Neurospora crassa OR74A: one gene and its partners. The main gene of each other region encodes a partner of the protein of the gene in region 2 in a complex. Links are inferred from orthologs where the notes say so. Each region holds a gene or a part of one and is shown on either strand. Other genes may lie near its edges. The genes, in order: NCU09880, NCU00505, NCU11251, NCU04606 and NCU07832.

Evidence for each region.
Region 1: NCU00505 (region 2) and NCU09880 share a complex: the UniProt entries of both Saccharomyces cerevisiae proteins name them as parts of the sm core complex. The link is inferred for Neurospora crassa OR74A from reciprocal best matches to the Saccharomyces cerevisiae genes SMD1 and SMX2.
Region 3: NCU00505 (region 2) and NCU11251 share a complex: the UniProt entries of both Saccharomyces cerevisiae proteins name them as parts of the U4/U6-U5 tri-snRNP complex. The link is inferred for Neurospora crassa OR74A from reciprocal best matches to the Saccharomyces cerevisiae genes SMD1 and PRP4.
Region 4: NCU00505 (region 2) and NCU04606 share a complex: the UniProt entries of both Saccharomyces cerevisiae proteins name them as parts of the U4/U6-U5 tri-snRNP complex. The link is inferred for Neurospora crassa OR74A from reciprocal best matches to the Saccharomyces cerevisiae genes SMD1 and PRP6.
Region 5: NCU00505 (region 2) and NCU07832 share a complex: the UniProt entries of both Saccharomyces cerevisiae proteins name them as parts of the U4/U6-U5 tri-snRNP complex. The link is inferred for Neurospora crassa OR74A from reciprocal best matches to the Saccharomyces cerevisiae genes SMD1 and PRP8.

Annotation. Positions count from the first base shown.
Region 1 is NC_026501.1:6,357,873-6,361,719, forward strand, and holds NCU09880 (small nuclear ribonucleoprotein SmG), read right to left. Parts: upstream 2,394-3,847; 5' UTR 2,280-2,393; coding exon 2,250-2,279; intron 2,109-2,249; coding exon 2,037-2,108; intron 1,978-2,036; coding exon 1,903-1,977; intron 1,844-1,902; coding exon 1,763-1,843; 3' UTR 1,445-1,762; coding exon of another isoform or gene 1,251-1,444; 3' UTR 1,133-1,250; coding exon of another isoform or gene 808-1,132; 3' UTR 504-807; downstream 1-503. Other genes in the region: NCU09881 (hypothetical protein), read left to right, coding at 1-15; NCU10125 (hypothetical protein), read left to right, coding at 808-1,132, 1,251-1,444; NCU09879 (hypothetical protein), read left to right, coding at 2,723-2,825, 2,925-3,847. UniProt on the Saccharomyces cerevisiae protein: Plays a role in pre-mRNA splicing as a core component of the spliceosomal U1, U2, U4 and U5 small nuclear ribonucleoproteins (snRNPs), the building blocks of the spliceosome.
Region 2 is NC_026501.1:8,193,160-8,196,358, forward strand, and holds NCU00505 (small nuclear ribonucleoprotein Sm D1), read left to right. Parts: upstream 1-1,347; 5' UTR 1,348-1,474; coding exon 1,475-1,488; intron 1,489-1,606; exon of another isoform or gene 1,607-1,707; coding exon 1,708-1,875; intron 1,876-1,953; coding exon 1,954-2,143; 3' UTR 2,144-2,693; downstream 2,694-3,199. Other genes in the region: pkr1 (ER membrane protein), read left to right, coding at 284-787; NCU00504 (hypothetical protein), read right to left, coding at 2,802-3,199. UniProt on the Saccharomyces cerevisiae protein: lays a role in pre-mRNA splicing as a core component of the spliceosomal U1, U2, U4 and U5 small nuclear ribonucleoproteins (snRNPs), the building blocks of the spliceosome. Also binds telomerase RNA and is required for its accumulation.
Region 3 is NC_026501.1:4,871,907-4,875,774, forward strand, and holds NCU11251 (pre-mRNA splicing factor), read right to left. Parts: upstream 2,579-3,868; 5' UTR 2,422-2,578; coding exon 2,377-2,421; intron 2,313-2,376; exon of another isoform or gene 2,289-2,312; coding exon 2,255-2,288; intron 2,200-2,254; coding exon 698-2,199; 3' UTR 502-697; downstream 1-501. UniProt on the Saccharomyces cerevisiae protein: Involved in RNA splicing. Is required for the association of U4/U6 snRNP with U5 snRNP in an early step of spliceosome assembly.
Region 4 is NC_026505.1:1,527,879-1,532,076, reverse strand, and holds the start of NCU04606 (pre-mRNA splicing factor), read right to left. Parts: upstream 2,811-4,198; 5' UTR 2,718-2,810; coding exon 2,383-2,717; intron 2,271-2,382; exon of another isoform or gene 2,231-2,270; coding exon 1-2,230. UniProt on the Saccharomyces cerevisiae protein: Participates in pre-mRNA splicing. Part of the U4/U5/U6 tri-snRNP complex, one of the building blocks of the spliceosome.
Region 5 is NC_026503.1:1,010,072-1,012,837, forward strand, and holds part of NCU07832 (pre-mRNA processing splicing factor 8), read left to right. Parts: coding exon 1-2,183; intron 2,184-2,260; coding exon 2,261-2,766. UniProt on the Saccharomyces cerevisiae protein: Functions as a scaffold that mediates the ordered assembly of spliceosomal proteins and snRNAs. Required for association of BRR2 with the spliceosomal U5 snRNP, and the subsequent assembly of the U4/U6-U5 tri-snRNP complex.

The DNA of each region.
Region 1 (3,847 bases), about 1.8 Mb from region 2:
TACTATGATGAATGAATGGAACAACGAAGCGAGCACAGACTGATTTGGGAGATGTGGGCATTCTTTGGTGGAAGTTACGCCGTGACGTATAAATCAGAATAGCTCTCAGGTGTCGCTGGGCTGTTGGAGGGAGCGTCTTGCTACTGTATACCTTATAAACGCCGTGGTTTAACCTTTTATCAATCTTCCATACAACGACATGTATATTGATTGGTGCGCTTTGTCGCAGGTGTCCTGGTGCTGCAACTTACACACCTCAACAATTCGTTATGTGATATCCCCCTATATGCCGGGCCGAGTAAACCAAGATGTCGGAGCTATCAGTTATCTACGGGTAAATGGCGAGGGGCATGAATATGGGTAATAAGAAAAATAACATGCTCATGGTTACTAAATTGCATAGAAGCGACGAGACCAGGCAGTATGTCGCGTTGATGAGCTGGTGAAGAAATCATCTTGTCGTCCCCCCTTAGCCGCGATCTCCTGAAAAACTCCATGGAGTAATAGGATAGGAAGGACTACCTCCGGATGCGGTATCCCATCTACGGCATCAGAGGATCCGATCGTACGAGACAAGTGATTTATGATAGGACGTGACTGCCGAGGACATGTCCCGCGAGATGAGTATTGGCGGCGTGGCTTGCTGAAAGATGTGACTAGATCTCAGAGCCGCCCCAATCCAGTGTGGCAAACAAAGAGTTTACCCCTGACTGCCCTTCATATACCGGACAATGCATCAACGGTACATTTCTTCCGCTTAACCTAAGAAATCAGTCAATGAGAAACCAACTCAGCAACGGCCTCAACATGACGATACACGTTCACGAACACTGCTTGCGCATGGCTAGGCGCGAGGATGGTACACCGTGGTGGGCAGCATTTCCAGAGCCAACTTCGACGCCGGTCCATATCGAGCCCCAGACTGTCCTCGAGCTTCTTGAGCAGCAAGAACATGTCGATGACATGCCCCAATCGCGCAGATTGCTGCTTGTCGATTGTCGCCGGACAGACTGCGCCGGGGGAACTGTCAGCTCATCAATCAACCTGCCCGCCCACAGCTTCTTCCCCACGCGCAAGAGCTTGTACGCTTTGTGCAAACAGGCCGGGATCCAAAAGGTGGTCTTCTATTGTGGTACGTGTTTGACTTTCTCTGTCATTGACTCTTGGGACAGAGTCCAATCAATCCTATGCTCTTTTGAACTCGTACCTCTACCGCCGACCCTCTCTAACACCGATGCTTCTTCCCCCAGGCTCCTCCGCTGGTCGGGGCCCTCGATGTGCCGCCTGGATGCAAGACTATATCAACGAAGTAGGCGGCGATCTTCAGTCGCAGGTCATGACGGGCGGGATTCGAGGCTGGGTGCGGATGTACGGCGACCGCATGGTGGACGGTTATGACGAGAAGACGTGGAAGCAGCTGTTGTCGGAGAAGAGCTGTACGTGATGAAAAACAAAAAAATCCTTTGGGTATCTTTTCTTCGACCACCGCCGCAGATGTTTCCCTTTCTAAGTTGAAGATAATGCAGCTTTCCCGAATACATGCCTCGTGTGAAACTGAACGCCGTACCAGCCAACCCACCTAGCTTTTCACCGTCCAAGACCGCGTGGAACACTGTAGATGTCGTCGTAAAGTGTAAATCGCCTTGGTATATAGTCAAATCCCGTCAATTGCCATCCGCTTATTCCGATGCCTCGCCTTTTGATGTAGGCGTTTGTAGATGCGCAGGGTCGTTTTATCGTGTTGCGAGAAGATGATTGTTGATTAGCCGCGCTGTCCTCCCCTCTCATCGCCGCCGATTCTCTCGAGAGCCTCCATCATCACAACGGAGTTACCACGAATGGTCTGTGTGCACATTCGTCAGCAGGAGACACGTCAGCACCTTTCTACAATGATAAACATACCACCATGCCAAGCTTGACCTTCTCACCACCATCCTTCTCCTCAACAGCATCGTCCAAAACAATGTTCAAGAAGACCTATGACGTCGCGAACCGTCAATCATCATGTTCGAATTCGTAAAGGGGAGATCTCGTACATCGTAGCCACGGAGAACACCAATGACCTTGCGGCTGCCGTTGAGTTGGACGAAGAGCCTCTTGTCGAGGTACTGGTTGGAAAGTGGTCGGTTAGCTCACTACACCATACTAAACAAACAATAACATGGAGTTCGAGATGCGACAATGGCATAGTCTCGACCAGCCAGCTGCCATTCAGCGTGAAAGGCAATTCTCCAAGAGTAAGTTCTTACCTTCTTCAGTTCAGGTTGTGCGGGCGCCATTGTATCTTGAGGTTGTGTTGGTTGTCTGGGATGGTCTCGAGAGAGTTGCTGCAATGAATGGCAATGGCGTCGTTCTGGCTGGGAACTCTCCACTGAAACAACCTGGAAGGCGGGCCTTGTGCAGCGCGTGCAATCGCGACCATCCCCAGTGATTTTCGGCCGCCAGGCCATCACGTGGGGACACTGATAAGATAAGAAACCGCAATTCGCGTTGCCCGTCTTTGGGTGATTGCAGTGTTCAGTGCAGTGGTGACATCCAGTCGCCCACCAGCGTCATTCTCCAGGGTGCATTTCGAAGCTTCCTAGCTGTCTGGACACCTTTTTGCACTACAAACTTACCTGTAAACAACACGCCCGCCTCAATACTACATCACTGTATTACAAACTCCCTGTCAGACAACCTACTTCCATTCTACACTTTACTCAAGTCGATCATCACAAAAATGAGCTCTTTTGGAAAGCGCAAGCCACGCATTATCCAGACCTTTGACGATGAGGATGGCGACCTTCCTACGGTGCTTGGAGGAGAGGAGCCGAAGAACGAACGTAAGTTGCTATATGGCCATGCCCATCCCTTTCCAGCATAGAAAATCTCAGTGCTGATACCAAACCAAAGAACAAGCAAGCTGATACGCCTTCGAACAGAACCAGTACCGCAAGGACCGACCAAGTTTGGGCGCAGCAAGCCTACTAAATCTTCGTCACTACGAAGAACGATCAAGATCAACGACGGTAACGATAATCCACAAGAAACCAGCGGCGACGCAATCCAACCTACGTCAACCAGCACAAGTACGGCACCCGAGGTAACAGAAGCCGAGGAGGACACTGGTGTGCCGCTCGTAGTACGGCCCGGTTTCGGCCGCTCAGTCTCCAGCAAGAAGAAGCGCATCTCAAAACTATCATTCGGAGCCAGCGAGGGCGACACGGAAGATGGCGGCAATGATACGACAACAACTGCCAGCAGCGACGTGGTCAGCGCCCCAAGCAAAAAGTCGCTGAGCCAACGAGTTGCCGAGAAGAACGCGCTTCGCAAGTCCGCCCTGACCGCACGATTCGGCACATTTGGCGCCGACGAAGAGAAGCCTCGGTACAGCAAAGAATACCTTGAAGAACTCCAAAGCTCCACGCCAGCCACACCACAGAATCTCGCCTCGCTAAGCATCATCGACGACGATGACGACGACAGCCTCAAAACCCACAGCGCACCGTTGCCGGAGGCATCTGCCGCGCCCGGGACAACGGGCGACGCCATGGACCTCGACCCCTCTGAGCTTGACGGCGCCATGATTGTTCAATCCCGCGACATGCCCCTAGCGCTCACTGGCGATGCCCCAGCAGCCCATGTCCTCACCGAAGCCGAGATCCGCGAGCGCAAAGAGCGGCGCGCGCGCCTTGCCAAGGAACACGATTTCATCGCACTCGACGATAGTGACCACTCCGACAACGACGACCGAAAACGCATCACGTTGAGTCTCAACAAAAAGGCCAAGAAATCCGAATCGCGCCTCATAGCCGAAGACGAAGACCTAGGTGAAGGCTACGACGAGTTCGTGACTGACGGCTCG
Region 2 (3,199 bases):
GCCCTACGGGCTTTGTCTGGTTGGGCTGCACATCCTCATCCGTCCCCTGCCTTCTGTCCCTCGTCATTTATAAAGGTTGTGAGGCCGTGACTAACCCTCTCTTCGACTGTAGTCATCCACTACGAACCATTGACTTTACTGCGAGTTTGTCTCTTCGTTTGTCCGCATCGCTTCCACGGCGCATCGTCCTGAACACGAATCGACAACAAGAATTTTCCTCTACACGACATACCTTCACGGTCAAACTTTTCAACGCCGACATAGCGCCAGCCTAATCTTCCCAATGACATCCTTCGTTACAAATCTCTGGGAGTCGATCTTCACTCCGGGGCCGACTCCCACCCTCCTTATCGCGACAAATGTCACATTTGCCGCTCTGCAAATTGTCCTGGCGTGCCTCCTCTTTGCGACATGGAGTATCCACTTCGTAATTCTCTCGGCTCTCTGCGGTGGACTCTGGGGATCCATCAACTGGTTCGCGGCGGAACTGAAGGTGCACCAAATCCAAGAAGAGGAAAAGGCGAGAAGAGCCAAAGAAGCAGCGCCAACTCCAGTCACATCGGAAGACAGCGAAACAGAAGTAGAGGCAGCTACATCGACAGCTAGCCTCACGAGGCAGGAGTCAATTGCAGAGGCGGTCAGCCATGAGGTTGAGCCTATCCAGCAGATTGGAGAACTGAAGCACAGAGTGGTTGAGGAGACACCGAGCCTGGGCACTAAGAGCGGCGTCAGCACGGAAGATGAGTGGGAGAAGGTTTCGGAGAACGAGAACGAAAAGGACAAGTGAATATCCTGGCGATTGAGCGGGGACCGACCACACGCAGAACGTACAAGCGAATGTCGTGTTAGCGAAGTTACCATGGCATCCTGTAAATAGTGTCATGGTCCGCTTTCGTGTTGGAGTTGAGCGACGATGGCATTTACACATCCACCCTGTTTTCGTTCTTCATTGGATGAAAGGAGAGGCAGTTGAAGGCTGTAAGCCCTATGTTCGTTTCATAGTCCTTATCCTGCCATGAGGCATCATGATCTGTGCAACTACAGCTATAGCTTCAGAGACAAAGTCATAGTAAACAACACCTTGTTGTTCGGCGTGGCAGTTAGCCAGCCCATCTTCGTGTACCCCAATTATCTGGTTGCTTCAACTCAGCACATGAACAGATCATGTGCAGGGCAGGCAATTTATGGATAGCTTGAAACCCATGACTTCCAGGGTTAGGGGCTTTCAAGCCGCCGTTTGCCTGTTCAGCTCGGCTCACGTGATTGAGCACGGGCTCTATCTTGGCGCGTAGCGACGGCAGGCTATCTGCTCCACCCTGACGCTTGGATGGTTGTGCAAGCGTCCAAGGAAGCTCGACAAGCCTTCTCCCGTCGCGACTGTTGATTGACAAAGTAACAAGCTGGTAATCGAGACCTTGTCACCACCAATTCCATACAACACATATTCGATTACGCGTTGTCCAAATAAGTCAAGATGAAGCTGGTCAGGTAAGATTTCTCCTTGCTTTCTGATACTTCGCTACATGTACCCGATACCCCATCCCACCCGACTTCATTCCTATTCTCTTGCACGACGCATGCTGAGCTTTGAGTCCTCGCCTTCAAGGCTGCCAGCCCGTGTTCGCGCGCGTCCATGCTGCTCTACTAGAAAAAGAACACCAAGGGCACCAGGCTGACGAAGTGGAATCCGTTACTTCAACACTGCAGATTTTTGATGAAATGCGCCAACGAGACGGTGACGATTGAGTTGAAGAACGGCACAATTGTACACGGCACTATCGCCTCGGTCACACCCCGCATGGACACTGCGCTTCGCAACGTCAAGATGACCCCCAAGGGCCAGGACGCTGTGGCTCTAGATGCCATGAACATTAGGTAAATCAACCCTTTCAACTAAGGGGGAGTGGCCCTTTTCAGTTTTCGAGGGCATCACTAACTATTGAAACCCTACAGGGGCTCGACCATCCGTTACTTCATACTCCCCGATTCTTTGCCGCTCGATACATTGCTAGTTGATGATTCCGTGAAGCCCAAGAACAAGGCGAGAAAGGAAGCGGACCGCAGCGCCGGCGGCAGAGGTGGCCGTGGTGGCCGTGGCAGAGGAAGGGGAATGGGTCGCGGCCGCGGTCGTGGCCGTGGCTAAGCGGATCTCGTTTCTTTGGGATCGGCCACGGCGTACGTCTCCCTGGACGACAGAAACGTGCGAATTAGATTTTTTTTCAAAGACGATACGATGCTATACTACGGTTAATGGTGGATTTTTTTCGGTTTTTTATGCCCCCTTCGGTCGACCGGCTTGACCGTCTTGGTAGGGAAGATCAAGGCCGGCCCGAAATAACGTCCGGTGGCGACGACACGACAAAATCGACGATGAGTGCGCTTCAGAAAATCGAGGAGCATATCCCAGATCTTCACTTGAGCGACACTCGAGATTCACCTCATTCGCATCGAGTGTTACACACATAAACACCACTCCCCCTCATCGGATCGGAGCAGAGGGCAAGCATTGGGATTTCGTTGCGGCGTTCTGGACAGGATAAAATCACTTTGCTAGCGGGAAGGGAGAGAGAGAAAGGCGCGCCCAACCGCCACCGGAATGAACTATTTTATGTATCACAAAACAGATAGACGGCGATATATGCCTACTGGAGAAGGCGGCACAATCAGCAACTCTCTATACCAAATTTCCCCCAGAATTTTCGAGCCTTGTACGTGACTGACCATCGTCCTTCCCCCTCTTCCACCCTCTTCAACAGCTTCCTCCCCATCCTCAACTCATCACCAGCATCTCATCCCTCCATTCACCTCCAAACCCTCACAATCTGCAACTTCTCCCAACCCGCCTGCCTCCCACTAGTCCCCACCGTCTCTGCCTTCCACTTCCCTTCACCACCCATCACCCTGATCCTCCCTTTGACCTCCTCCGGCTTATTCTGCGCACAAAGCAGAATATACGCCACCCCCCTCTCGCTCAACACCCCCGGCAAGGCCTCAATCAGTCTATCCGTCGTCTCCATCCCATCCCTCCCTCCAGCATACGTCAACTCCAAGAGATGTGAGTCTTCCTCAAACGTCGTTTTCTCCTTCAGTGCCTGCAACCCTGTCGGTGGCGGCGCAGGCAAGTCAGGCGTAGGGACGTAGGGCGGGTTGAAGACTAGGACATCTACCGATCCGGGACGAAAGGGGGAGACGAGGTCAC
Region 3 (3,868 bases), about 3.3 Mb from region 2:
GTTCCCAAATAAGCGAATCCTCCCCGTGTCGCCCTTCAGACAGCTTTGAGCGGGTTGATGCGCATGGGGACTTGAGCTGCCCGGATGCTGTGAGTTGAGGGTATTGTGAATGACGTCTCTCGCGATAAATACCGGCTGGGGATAAAACCACTTGAAAATGCAGAAATGCGAGAAACGAAGAAGTCAAAGGTTCGAAAACGGACCAACGCTACAAGTTCCCGGTGATGGCGTCTGCTGCCATTGTTTTATCGCCCTTTATCAGAAAGCCAAGCTTCGCACGATGGACCGTGCGTCACCATTTCCCAGGGTGCCAGGGTGACTTTACCAACGCCAACCAACGCGAGCGGCAGGTGTCCCGCCCAACCCTGCCCGCGTCACTGCAGAAAAGAAGGGAGAAGGAATCTCAACAGGCCCACTTTCGCGGTCAGGTGACACCCCTTATCCTTACCGGGTCAGTGAAACGCAACCACAAGGCAACTCAGACGCATGTACCAAAGGCAGCTTGTTATGGGCACCCAGTTGTGGTTGTTGATCTACAAATTGAGACGGCTTCTATGCAATCTATCTGCCGATACTGTCTCTCGTGGAGCGGTAAGCCAAGCCCTGGCCTGTCGCTTGCTGAACGCCCTCCTTGGTGTGTTGCTCCTATGCGAGAGGCAACGACAAGATTCTTGTCGCGCACATGATTGATGTCTGCTCAGGAATCATACAAGCTCCTGGAGTCGTTTCTTCCCCAAAGTTTGACCGTCCGGTCATGGCCACCGCTTACAATCCATTTTCCATCCCGGCTAACGTCAACACTCGCAACAGGCCCTGTGTGGCCGCTGAGAGACTGAACCAAGGCCCAGTCGTCAGCGGAAAATATGTTCACCTTGTGGTCAAAGCCTGCCGACACCATAAAGGTGCCGGATTTTTTGGGAATTTGCATTCCCTTTTCATCTTCGCCAGGAGGCACTCCTTCCAACGGGTCATCCAACCCCTTGAACCACCGCACGTCGGCCACTGCACTTGTATGGGCACCAATGCCTCCAATTCTTTCCACTTTTCTAACGTCCCAGCATTTGATCCAACCATCAGCAGACGCCGTGAGCACCCTGTAACCGTCCGAGCCCCAGTCCAAACCATAAATAGGCTTGATATGGCCGTCCTGATGCCCATCTAGAATCATGGCAGTCCGTCCTGTCCGCAGATCCCAGATTCTTCCGATACTGTCCAAACCCGCGCTAGCGAGTAGCGATCCGTCACTGTTATAACTGACAGCGTATACACCGCGAGAGTGACCTTCCTGGAGAAGGAGCTCGGTGCCGGTTTCAACATCCCACATCCTCCATGACGTGTCTTCTGAGGCAGAAGCCAGATACTTGCCCGATGGATGGAACTCTACACGACATACTCGTTGCGAGTGTCCTGAGAGAGTTCTCAAAGGCGTGTCTTGGTTCAAAGACCAGAGATGAATCTGGCCTTCCGCTCCTCCGGAAGCGAGATTGACTGTGTCGGGAGAAACATTGCGCTCCGGCAGTGTAGCTCCAGGCATCCAGCATAGGCCGCTGACTTTGTTGGTGTGGCCCCTCAAAGTCTTCCTTGGCTCAAGGGTTGGGATTTCGATGAGTTTGACCTGTCCGCCCCAATTGCCAGTTGCGACCATGTTTCCATCAGGCGAGATCCTTGTCATGCTGATGTGCCGCTCTCCTGCCGTTTGACTGCCTTGCAATTCAAACCCTTGAAGCTTCTCCTTGATCTCTTTTCGGTGTTTGACATGTGTCCGCAGTGGGATGGTGGACTCCTTCTTCTGGAACTCGATGCGCTTCTTAGCTCTCGGGATTGAGTAGTGAGCGATGTCGATGCGGGCCTGGAGCAGTTCCGGGCTTCCAGTAGTGTAAAATTCCTCCTCTTGGTCGCCGGCTTCATCTTCCTCGTTTTCGGCGTCCCGCATCTCCACATCGGCACTTTCCTGACCTCCCTTTTCGGCTTGTTGTGTCATGAGTTCTCGTAATCTGTCGCGTCTGTCTGCCGGACCCTCGCCGAAGAGGGTGACAGGCTCGCCCATCTCTCGCAATTTGGCTCGTACCCGGCCATCGTCGGTAGGAACAGCAATCGAAGCCGCTAATCGTTTTCGTTCAAACTGCGATAGAAGAACGGAGGCCTTCTCTGGGGCAATACCAGCCCCAGCACCGGGGATGTCGTAGTCGCGATCGAGGGCTAACACGCAAATCAGTCATGGGTTGGAAGCCATACAAGAGTTTTGGGGACTTACGGACGGAGTCTAGATCCATGCCTCCGCGATCCTGCTTCAGGGGGGGTCAGTCCGGGCTCTGTTTGCAATGTTGAGCAGGTGCCTTCAATGATGCGAGGGGCGCATATAGAGCATGGTCTTACCTCAGGCTCGGCCTCCTCCACGTAGGCTCTACGCGCCGGATGCATAGTGCTAAACTTTCGGTGTTTGTTCGTTTGCTAAATCTTCTGGACACTTGAACGCGAGTAAAGCCAGGTGATTCGAGTCCGGCTTGTGGTTGCTAAAGGACCGTTTGATGTGAGGGCTCGATGTTTTGCTTGCTGTCGTGAAATAGCAGGTGATGCAATCACAGGGAAGTTTACAATGCTGGCGCCGTTGCTGTTGCGGGAGCTCCACTAAAATTTCCGGCGCATCTTCGACCCTAACCCTCAACAAGCTGTCCCACCTGAATGCGCTCATCTCGGTCCTAGCACCACGGGCACCTCGTCTTAAGGTGAACCAACGAATCGCCATGAAGCTTTCACCGATCATTCAAAGAGGTACTTGAAATTTCAAAGTTTCATGTGATATGTGATAGATTCCTTGTTGGTGTCAACATTCGTTAATACCCACTTCGCACACGGTAGGTTTGGTCCGAGGTGACATGGAAGCGCGATCACAAACGGTGCGGCCAGTTCCCCCTTCCCAGCCCGTCGATCAATGCGGTTTAATGACCGCCAATCGAGCCCCGGCTGTTCGGATTCCCCAGACTTGTCAAAACTGAAGATCGGGGTCGGCATCCAGCGGCCTTGGTACACTACACTACCTATACACACATGACACCTGCCGTGTGGTATTGGAGGTTCATTTCTGGACATGGAGAGCAACATGGGGCTTTTTTCAGGTTGAAAGCTAGTGTGGAAAAAGCCTGGAAAATGGCCGATGGTGCATTCCCTTTAATGCGGGTGAGACGTATGTCTGATGTCTCTCACCCGATTTTCACGTGCTCTCGCCAATTCCTCCTGGGACATGGAACGCCCGCCAATTCCTCCTTTTCCTTTAAGTTCACCAGACCAATCCAGCTGGTCTTTCCGCCCTTTCAGTTGCTCGCCTGCCCGGCCTGCCCGGCCTGCCCAGACCGTGACGCATGATGTGAACGCTTTTCTCTTTATCGTGGTTGGCTCAATGGCGGGATATTTGGGTGAGGCGGACGCGGCCCCCTGCCCGGCTAGTGCATTCCAGTCCCTAGGGGTACTAAATTGTGCATAGGTAATACCCAAGGTCACAAACCCGGTCCAGGCCCATCCTAATTCACTGCAGGTGCAGAGTCCGGGCTCCATTTTATTTTAACTTCTGCTGCCCACGGAACTCCATTTCATTGTTGCCATTGTCGACCTCTCTCTTCGCACGCTCCCCCAGTCACAACTCTCTTCTTTTTTCTCTTTTCTGTTTTTTTTCTCTTTCTCTCTCTCCTTCTTGACAGTAAAAACCACATCTCATCGAGCCTTTCCACCCTCAATGCATATCGAGAAGACCGTCGACGACAATTCCACTTCCTTCTTCAAGTACCAGATGCGTGCGATTCCAAGCCATCAAGGACCCAGTTTGACCACCGAACACCGCGCAGACGCTCAGCGACGCAGAGGCGAGCCTTGA
Region 4 (4,198 bases), on a different chromosome or scaffold from region 2:
ATCGCCCACATCGCGATCCAGCAACAGCGCCTTCTCGAACCAGTTCTGCGCCCGGTCCAGCTTCCTTTCCGCCCACAGAATTCTCGCGGCCGTGACCAGCAGGATCGGATCGTCTTCCACCTTTTTCACCGCCTCGGCAAGCAGCGATTTCCGCTGCGTGCGCGGCTCGAGGTTGAGGATCCTTTCCGCCCACAGCAAGCCCGATTTGGGCATCTGCTGTAACGCTTGCGCCATGAGCGACTTGGCCTGGTTCAAGTTGCCCGCGCGCCGCTCGACGCGGATGAGTTCCGTCCATAGCTCCGGGGACTTGGGCACGGCTTGTCGGGCGCGGTCGAGGACCGAGCGCGCCTTGACGACATTGTTGGCCTTTTCTTCTAAACGAGAGTACAGAAGCCAGAGCGGGATGGACGAAGGGACGGCGCGCACGCCGGTGCTGTAGGCTTCCCGCGCAGGACCAAGTTGGCCGAGGTCTTCGTAGATTTGGCCCTTCATCATCCAGAGTTTGGGCTTGGAAGGGAAGAGCTGTAGGGCCTGTTGGACGAGATCCAAAGCGGCCTCGTTGACGCCTTGTTGACGCTCAAACGCCACGGAGCGCATCCACACGCGATCGGTGGGCGCATTCTGGCGCGCGGTCTTGAGGAGTTCGCGGGCTTTGTCGATGAAACCGTTGTCGGCTTCGAGCTTGACGGCCGCCAGCCAGATGTCCTCGCTGTCCGGGTTCTGCTTGAAGGCGCGGGCAAGGACGAGGCGTGCCTCGTCGACGCCCGCCTCGGCGGCTTTCTCGCGCGCGAGCATGAGCCAGAAGACTTCGTAGTGCGGACAGGCCTCGACGGCCTTTTCGAGCGCGTGCCAGAGGTCTTCCTTGCTGCCGTGGTTGCGCTCCAGGTCGATGGCGGCCGTGTAGAGCGATTTGCTGTTGGGGAAGACGCGGATGGCGTAGGCGTAGATGGCGCGCGCTGTGGCGAACTTGTCCCGGTTGATGGAGGCGCGCGCGTCTTCCATCCAGAGCTCCTTGCGGTCATCGTCCTCGTCGAGACCCCAGCCAAGCGTCTCTTCGATGATGTTGCTGCAAGTGATGACGGCGCCTTCCTCTTCGCACTTTTCTGCTTCGGCGATCCATTCCTCGCGCTTGGGCATGGCGTTCTGCTTGGCGAGGAACTTGACGGCGTTCTTCATCACGGGCCGCTTCTTGCCTTCGCCTAGTTGTTCTTCCAGGCGAGCGGCGGCGATCCAGAGTTCGTGCGAGTTGGGAAGCTTCTTGACGGCCTTGTTGAGAACCTTGCGGGCGTTTTCGGGAGTCTCGAGACGGGCCAGTGCCAACCAGAGGTCGAGCGACTCCGGGATAAGCTCCGTCGCCTTGGCTAGTAGAATGCGGGCGTCTTCGACGTCCTCCTCGAGGTTGACAGCCTCCTTCCATAGCGCCTCGGACTCTTGGTTATGATCGAGAGCTCTCCGGATAACCTTCTTCTTTGATCTAGGGTCGTTTTCCAGCTTCATCGCTTCCACCCAAAGCTTGACCGAGTGTGGGTTGGCTTGAATAGCCTGTGCCGCAATGACCTTGGCGTTCCGGTTGTCGTTCAAATGAATGTTTTCCAGCCAAATATCCTCGCTCTTCGGGCAGTGTTCGCAGCCCTTGGCAATCAAGCTGCGGGCAGCACCAGGCTTTCCCGCCGCGATTTCCAATCTCGCTGCAGCAATCCAACTGGCTGCCTGTTTGGGGTTCGAGTCGACAGCCGACTTGAGCATCTTCCTGAACTGCTCAATGTCTCCAATGCTTTGTTCCGCACCCTGCATGCTCGACAGCGATGTCAGGTAGCCCTTGGGGTCGATACTCGTCGCGCTTCCCGCCGTGGCCACGCTACTCGACTGTGATTGCTGTTCCAAGCGCGCCCTCAGCACCTTGTCGCGAGCCGCACCGATCTTTGCGAAATCTGTAACTGTGCCATCCTTGTTGACCCCTTCGGTGGCGGTGCCGTCTTCTGCAACGGTGGTACCGAACTGGCCGGAATCTCGCGCGGCAGCGAGGACACTGTCGGGAACGGCGTAGAAGCGCTCCATGCGAGCCTGGCGTGCCCTCTTGGTCCTGCCGGTAAGGTCCTTGGGATCTGGTAGGTTTGCCCATTCTTCGTCGGTGACCGTCTCGAGCGCTCGTTTGAGGCCGGCGAATTGCTGTTGGATTTTGGGGTTCTTTCGTTCGTACTCTAATCGTTCGGCTTCTTCTCGTGCTTCCCTGTGAAAATGCGATTTCTTGTCGGTACTCTGCTTTTCATCTATCTTGACCGATAAACCACATGCTTGCTTGAAAGTGTTGGGGAAGGGGTAGAAGGGTGTTTTGTGAATTTATGTAGGATGTCAAGTGATGTATACGAGGTAATGACTAACCTTTGCTTCTGTCGCCGCTTCGCCATCCTGTCGTCTACCTCTTTCCATATCCGATCTGCCTCCTCGTCGTCCTTCTCGTATATGCCGCCGGCGAACAAGCCGACTTCGTTGTCGGGATCCTGATAGCGGCCATCGTCTTCATTGTCGTCGTCCTTGGCCTCGGTCAGACCTAGCTGTGCAGATCTCTTCGCGACGGCCGCCTTGATCTGGTCTTCACTAGGACCCTCGCGCGCGGGACCAAGATCGGATCGTGTAGTGAAACCCGTGGCACCACGACCGAGACCGGCGACGTAGTTCTCGGGTGCGGGTTGACTGAGGAAATCCCGTCTAGACATGGTGGCGGTTTTCTGTATTCGTGATGTATTGTAGAGACGCGGTGGCTAGGATTGTGACCGTGGTGGCCGTAGAGGTAGCTCCAAACATTTGAGTTAGCGGCAAAATACCGGCAGGCTGCAAGTCGAAGTGGAAGTCGAACTCCAGGGCACTGAAGCCTGCCTGCCACTGGTCCAGGCGCTCTTGGCATTTGACGAACGAATGGCAGGCACAGTGCCAAGTAAACAGTCTACGACTCCACCAGTGCTTGGCGGCTTAATTCCACTTTCGTTGTTTACTTCCTCCTATCATTCATCTACCTCCTTTCCCGTCTTCACCATCACCAGTCAGCGGAGCCATGATGGCCATAGAAGACAACTATGACGATATTTCAGCGCTCCTGCCGTCGGCAACTGAAATGGCCTGGCTCAGTGAGGCGTGAAGTGGGACAACTTCACCCAGATGCTCGTCTGCTCTTCGTGTTGCAGCATCACTAAGGGAAATGCATTATTCATCTATGGCAATGCCTGCGATCAGCCTAGCCAACAATGTCCAACTTCAACCTCCCATTTAAATTCTTTCTGTGCAGGTGCGGCAACTACAGCATTTATGCCTCGCACCATTCAACCTTCACGGTCAGGTTAACCGCAAAGGCGGCACCATGCAAGGCGAATATACTCCCTCACCGAGACTTCGTAACACAGGTTTTCCTGTTTACAATAAACATGCTGTACAACGGCACACGATGACTGAGCCTATGCCTTTTTATTCTGCAATGAATTTAGGCTGGGTTTAGCTCCTTGCCGGCCGTCTACCTAGGTATATTTATTCAGTACCACGTCCCTGATTGAGTATACAGCGGGATCCGAGTTCGCACAACTTGAACGTCTGTACACAAGGTGCTTCCAATCTGCATACACTGTCTCAAAGCACTCATGGCGACTGAAGGAAAGCTACTCCAGCGCCGCCCACTCGAACCACCAATGTGCAATTTCGAGACCCTCCTGTTGACTAAATCTCATAAGTATGGGCATCTAGCTCGCTTCTTCACCCTTTACTACCACTCACATATTCGGTCCAGACCTTCTTGCTCGTCCATCACAGGAGAGCTTGATGTGATAGTCATGGAGCCGCTGATCAAAAACCCGATGTCTTCTCATATCAAACACTCATCAAATGACTCCGCAGGTAAGATCTCTTGGAAACCAGGCGGCTTCAGACGTTTTCCCTGGTTTGGGATAATTCCGCTGATCTTTTGTATAAGCTGTGAGTACTCGTTCCTACGTTCACCACAACACTGAGGCTGTGACCAAGTACCGACAATGCTAACTGCAAGGACTAGGTACAGGAATTGCTATAGGAGTCGTTCTCGAGAGCGATGGTGGTTCGGAAAAGAACTGGTCCGGGCTCAGACAACCCGGTGTTTTGTTGGCGTACACATCGACTCTTGCAAACGCGTTGATGGGGCTTGCCTTTGCCCAAGCGGCCGTGATATTCTTCTGGG
Region 5 (2,766 bases), on a different chromosome or scaffold from region 2:
TGGTCCCTACGTCTCTTCTGAGGAGGCTGTTGCCATTTACACTACTACGGTGCACTGGCTTGAATCGAGAAAATTCTCTCCCATCCCCTTCCCCAGTGTGTCTTACAAGCATGACACCAAGATCCTTATCTTGGCGCTGGAGCGCCTACGTGAGGCTTACTCGACCAAGGGAAGATTGAACCAGAGTCAGCGTGAGGAGTTGGCCTTGATTGAGCAGGCATATGACAGTCCAGGCACTACCCTCGAGCGTATCAAACGCTTCCTACTCACTCAAAGAGCTTTCAAGGAAGTCGGCATCGATATGAACGACAACTACAGCACCATCAACCCGGTCTATGATATTGAACCGATCGAGAAGATTAGCGATGCTTATCTCGACCAGTACTTGTGGTATCAAGCTGACCAGCGCCATCTGTTCCCCGCTTGGATTAAGCCTTCCGATTCGGAGGTGCCACCTTTGCTTGTGTACAAGTGGGCTCAAGGCATTAACAACCTCGACAGGGTTTGGGAGACCGCGAATGGCGAGTGCAATGTCATGATCGAGACGCAGCTCTCCAAGGTCTACGAGAAGATTGAGCTGACCTTGCTCAACTCGCTTCTTCGGTTGATAATGGACCACAACCTTGCGGACTACATCACGGCCAAGAATAACGTTACCCTAACTTACAAGGACATGAACCATGTCAACAGCTATGGTATGATTCGTGGCCTGCAGTTCTCAGCCTTCGTTTTCCAGTACTATGGTCTCATTCTCGATTTGCTGTTGCTTGGCCCGCAGCGTGCCAGCGAGATTGCCGGTCCTCCCCACGCACCCAATGACTTCCTTCAGTTCAAGGACCGGGAGACTGAAACAAGACACCCGATTAGGTTGTACACCAGGTACATCGACAAGATCTGGGTGTTCTTGAGGTTCACCGCGGATGAATCTCGCGACCTGATCCAGCGATTCTTGACAGAGCAGCCTGATCCCAACTTCGAGAACGTGATTGGTTACAAGAGCAAGAAGTGCTGGCCCAGAGATTCGCGTATGCGTCTCATGAGGCACGACGTCAACCTCGGCAGAGCTGTGTTCTGGGATCTCAAGAACCGCCTCCCAAGATCCGTGACGACGATTGAATGGGAAGACACCTTCGCCAGCGTGTACAGCAGGGATAACCCGAACCTCCTGTTCTCCATGTGCGGCTTCGAAGTGCGCATCTTGCCCAAGATCCGCAACCAGAACGATGAGTTCCCTGTGAAAGACAGTGTCTGGTCACTAGTGGACAACACGACCAAGGAACGCACCGCTCACGCTTTCCTACAAGTTACCGAAGAGGACATTCAGAAATTCAATAACAGGATCCGTCAGATTCTCATGTCGTCTGGCTCGACCACATTCACCAAGATTGCTAACAAGTGGAACACGGCGCTGATTGCCCTCTTTACTTACTACCGCGAGGCTGCTGTTTCGACCGTGAACCTGCTTGACACGATTGTCAAGTGTGAAACCAAAATCCAGACTCGTGTCAAAATTGGTCTCAACTCCAAGATGCCTTCCCGTTTCCCTCCTGCCGTTTTCTACACTCCCAAGGAGCTTGGTGGCTTGGGTATGATTTCCGGATCACACATCCTTATCCCTACTAGCGACAAGCGCTGGTCTAAACAGACAGATCTCGGAGTTACTCATTACCGTGCGGGCATGTCGCACGATGAGGAAACGCTGATCCCCAACATCTTCCGCTACATCATCCCGTGGGAAGCTGAGTTTATCGACTCCCAGCGTGTGTGGACGGAATACTCGCAGAAGCGTCTCGAGGCCAACCAGCAGAACCGCAGATTGACCCTAGAGGATCTGGAGGACAGCTGGGATCGCGGTCTGCCCCGTATAAACACTCTTTTTCAAAAGGACCGTAGCACGTTAAGCTTCGACAAGGGTTTCCGTGCCCGTTCCGAGTTCAAGATCTATCAGTTGATGAAGAGCAATCCCTTCTGGTGGACAAGCCAGAGGCATGACGGTAAACTTTGGAACCTTAACGCATACCGTACCGATGTCATCCAGGCGCTTGGTGGTGTCGAAACCATCTTGGAGCATACCTTGTTCAAGGCAACTGGTTTCCCGTCTTGGGAAGGTCTCTTCTGGGAGAAGGCCAGTGGTTTCGAGGAGTCGATGAAGTTCAAGAAGTTGACAAATGCCCAGAGGAGCGGTAAGTTCAACATACCATTTCTCTAGCATGAATTCATCATCATATGCACGCACAAATACTGACTTTGAAATACGCAGGTCTCAACCAGATTCCTAATCGTCGTTTCACGCTTTGGTGGTCGCCTACCATCAACAGAGCCAATGTCTACGTCGGTTTCCAAGTGCAGTTGGATCTAACTGGTATCTTCTTGCACGGCAAGATTCCTACTCTCAAGATCTCCCTGATCCAGATCTTCCGAGCTCATCTGTGGCAGAAGATCCACGAGTCAGTGGTCATGGATCTTTGCCAGGTCTTCGATCAGGAGCTTGAGGCTCTAAGCATCGAATCGGTTCAAAAGGAAACCATTCATCCCAGAAAATCTTACAAGATGAACAGCTCCTGCGCGGATATCCAGCTCTTTGCCAGCCACAAATGGAACGTTACTCGCCCATCGCTCCTTTTCGATACCAAGGATGTCATCGAGTCTACTACGACGAACAAGTTTTGGATTGATGTTCAGCTTCGCTATGGTGACTACGACTCTCACGATATTGAGAGATACGTCAGGGCCAAGTATCTGGACTACACCACCGACAGCATGAGT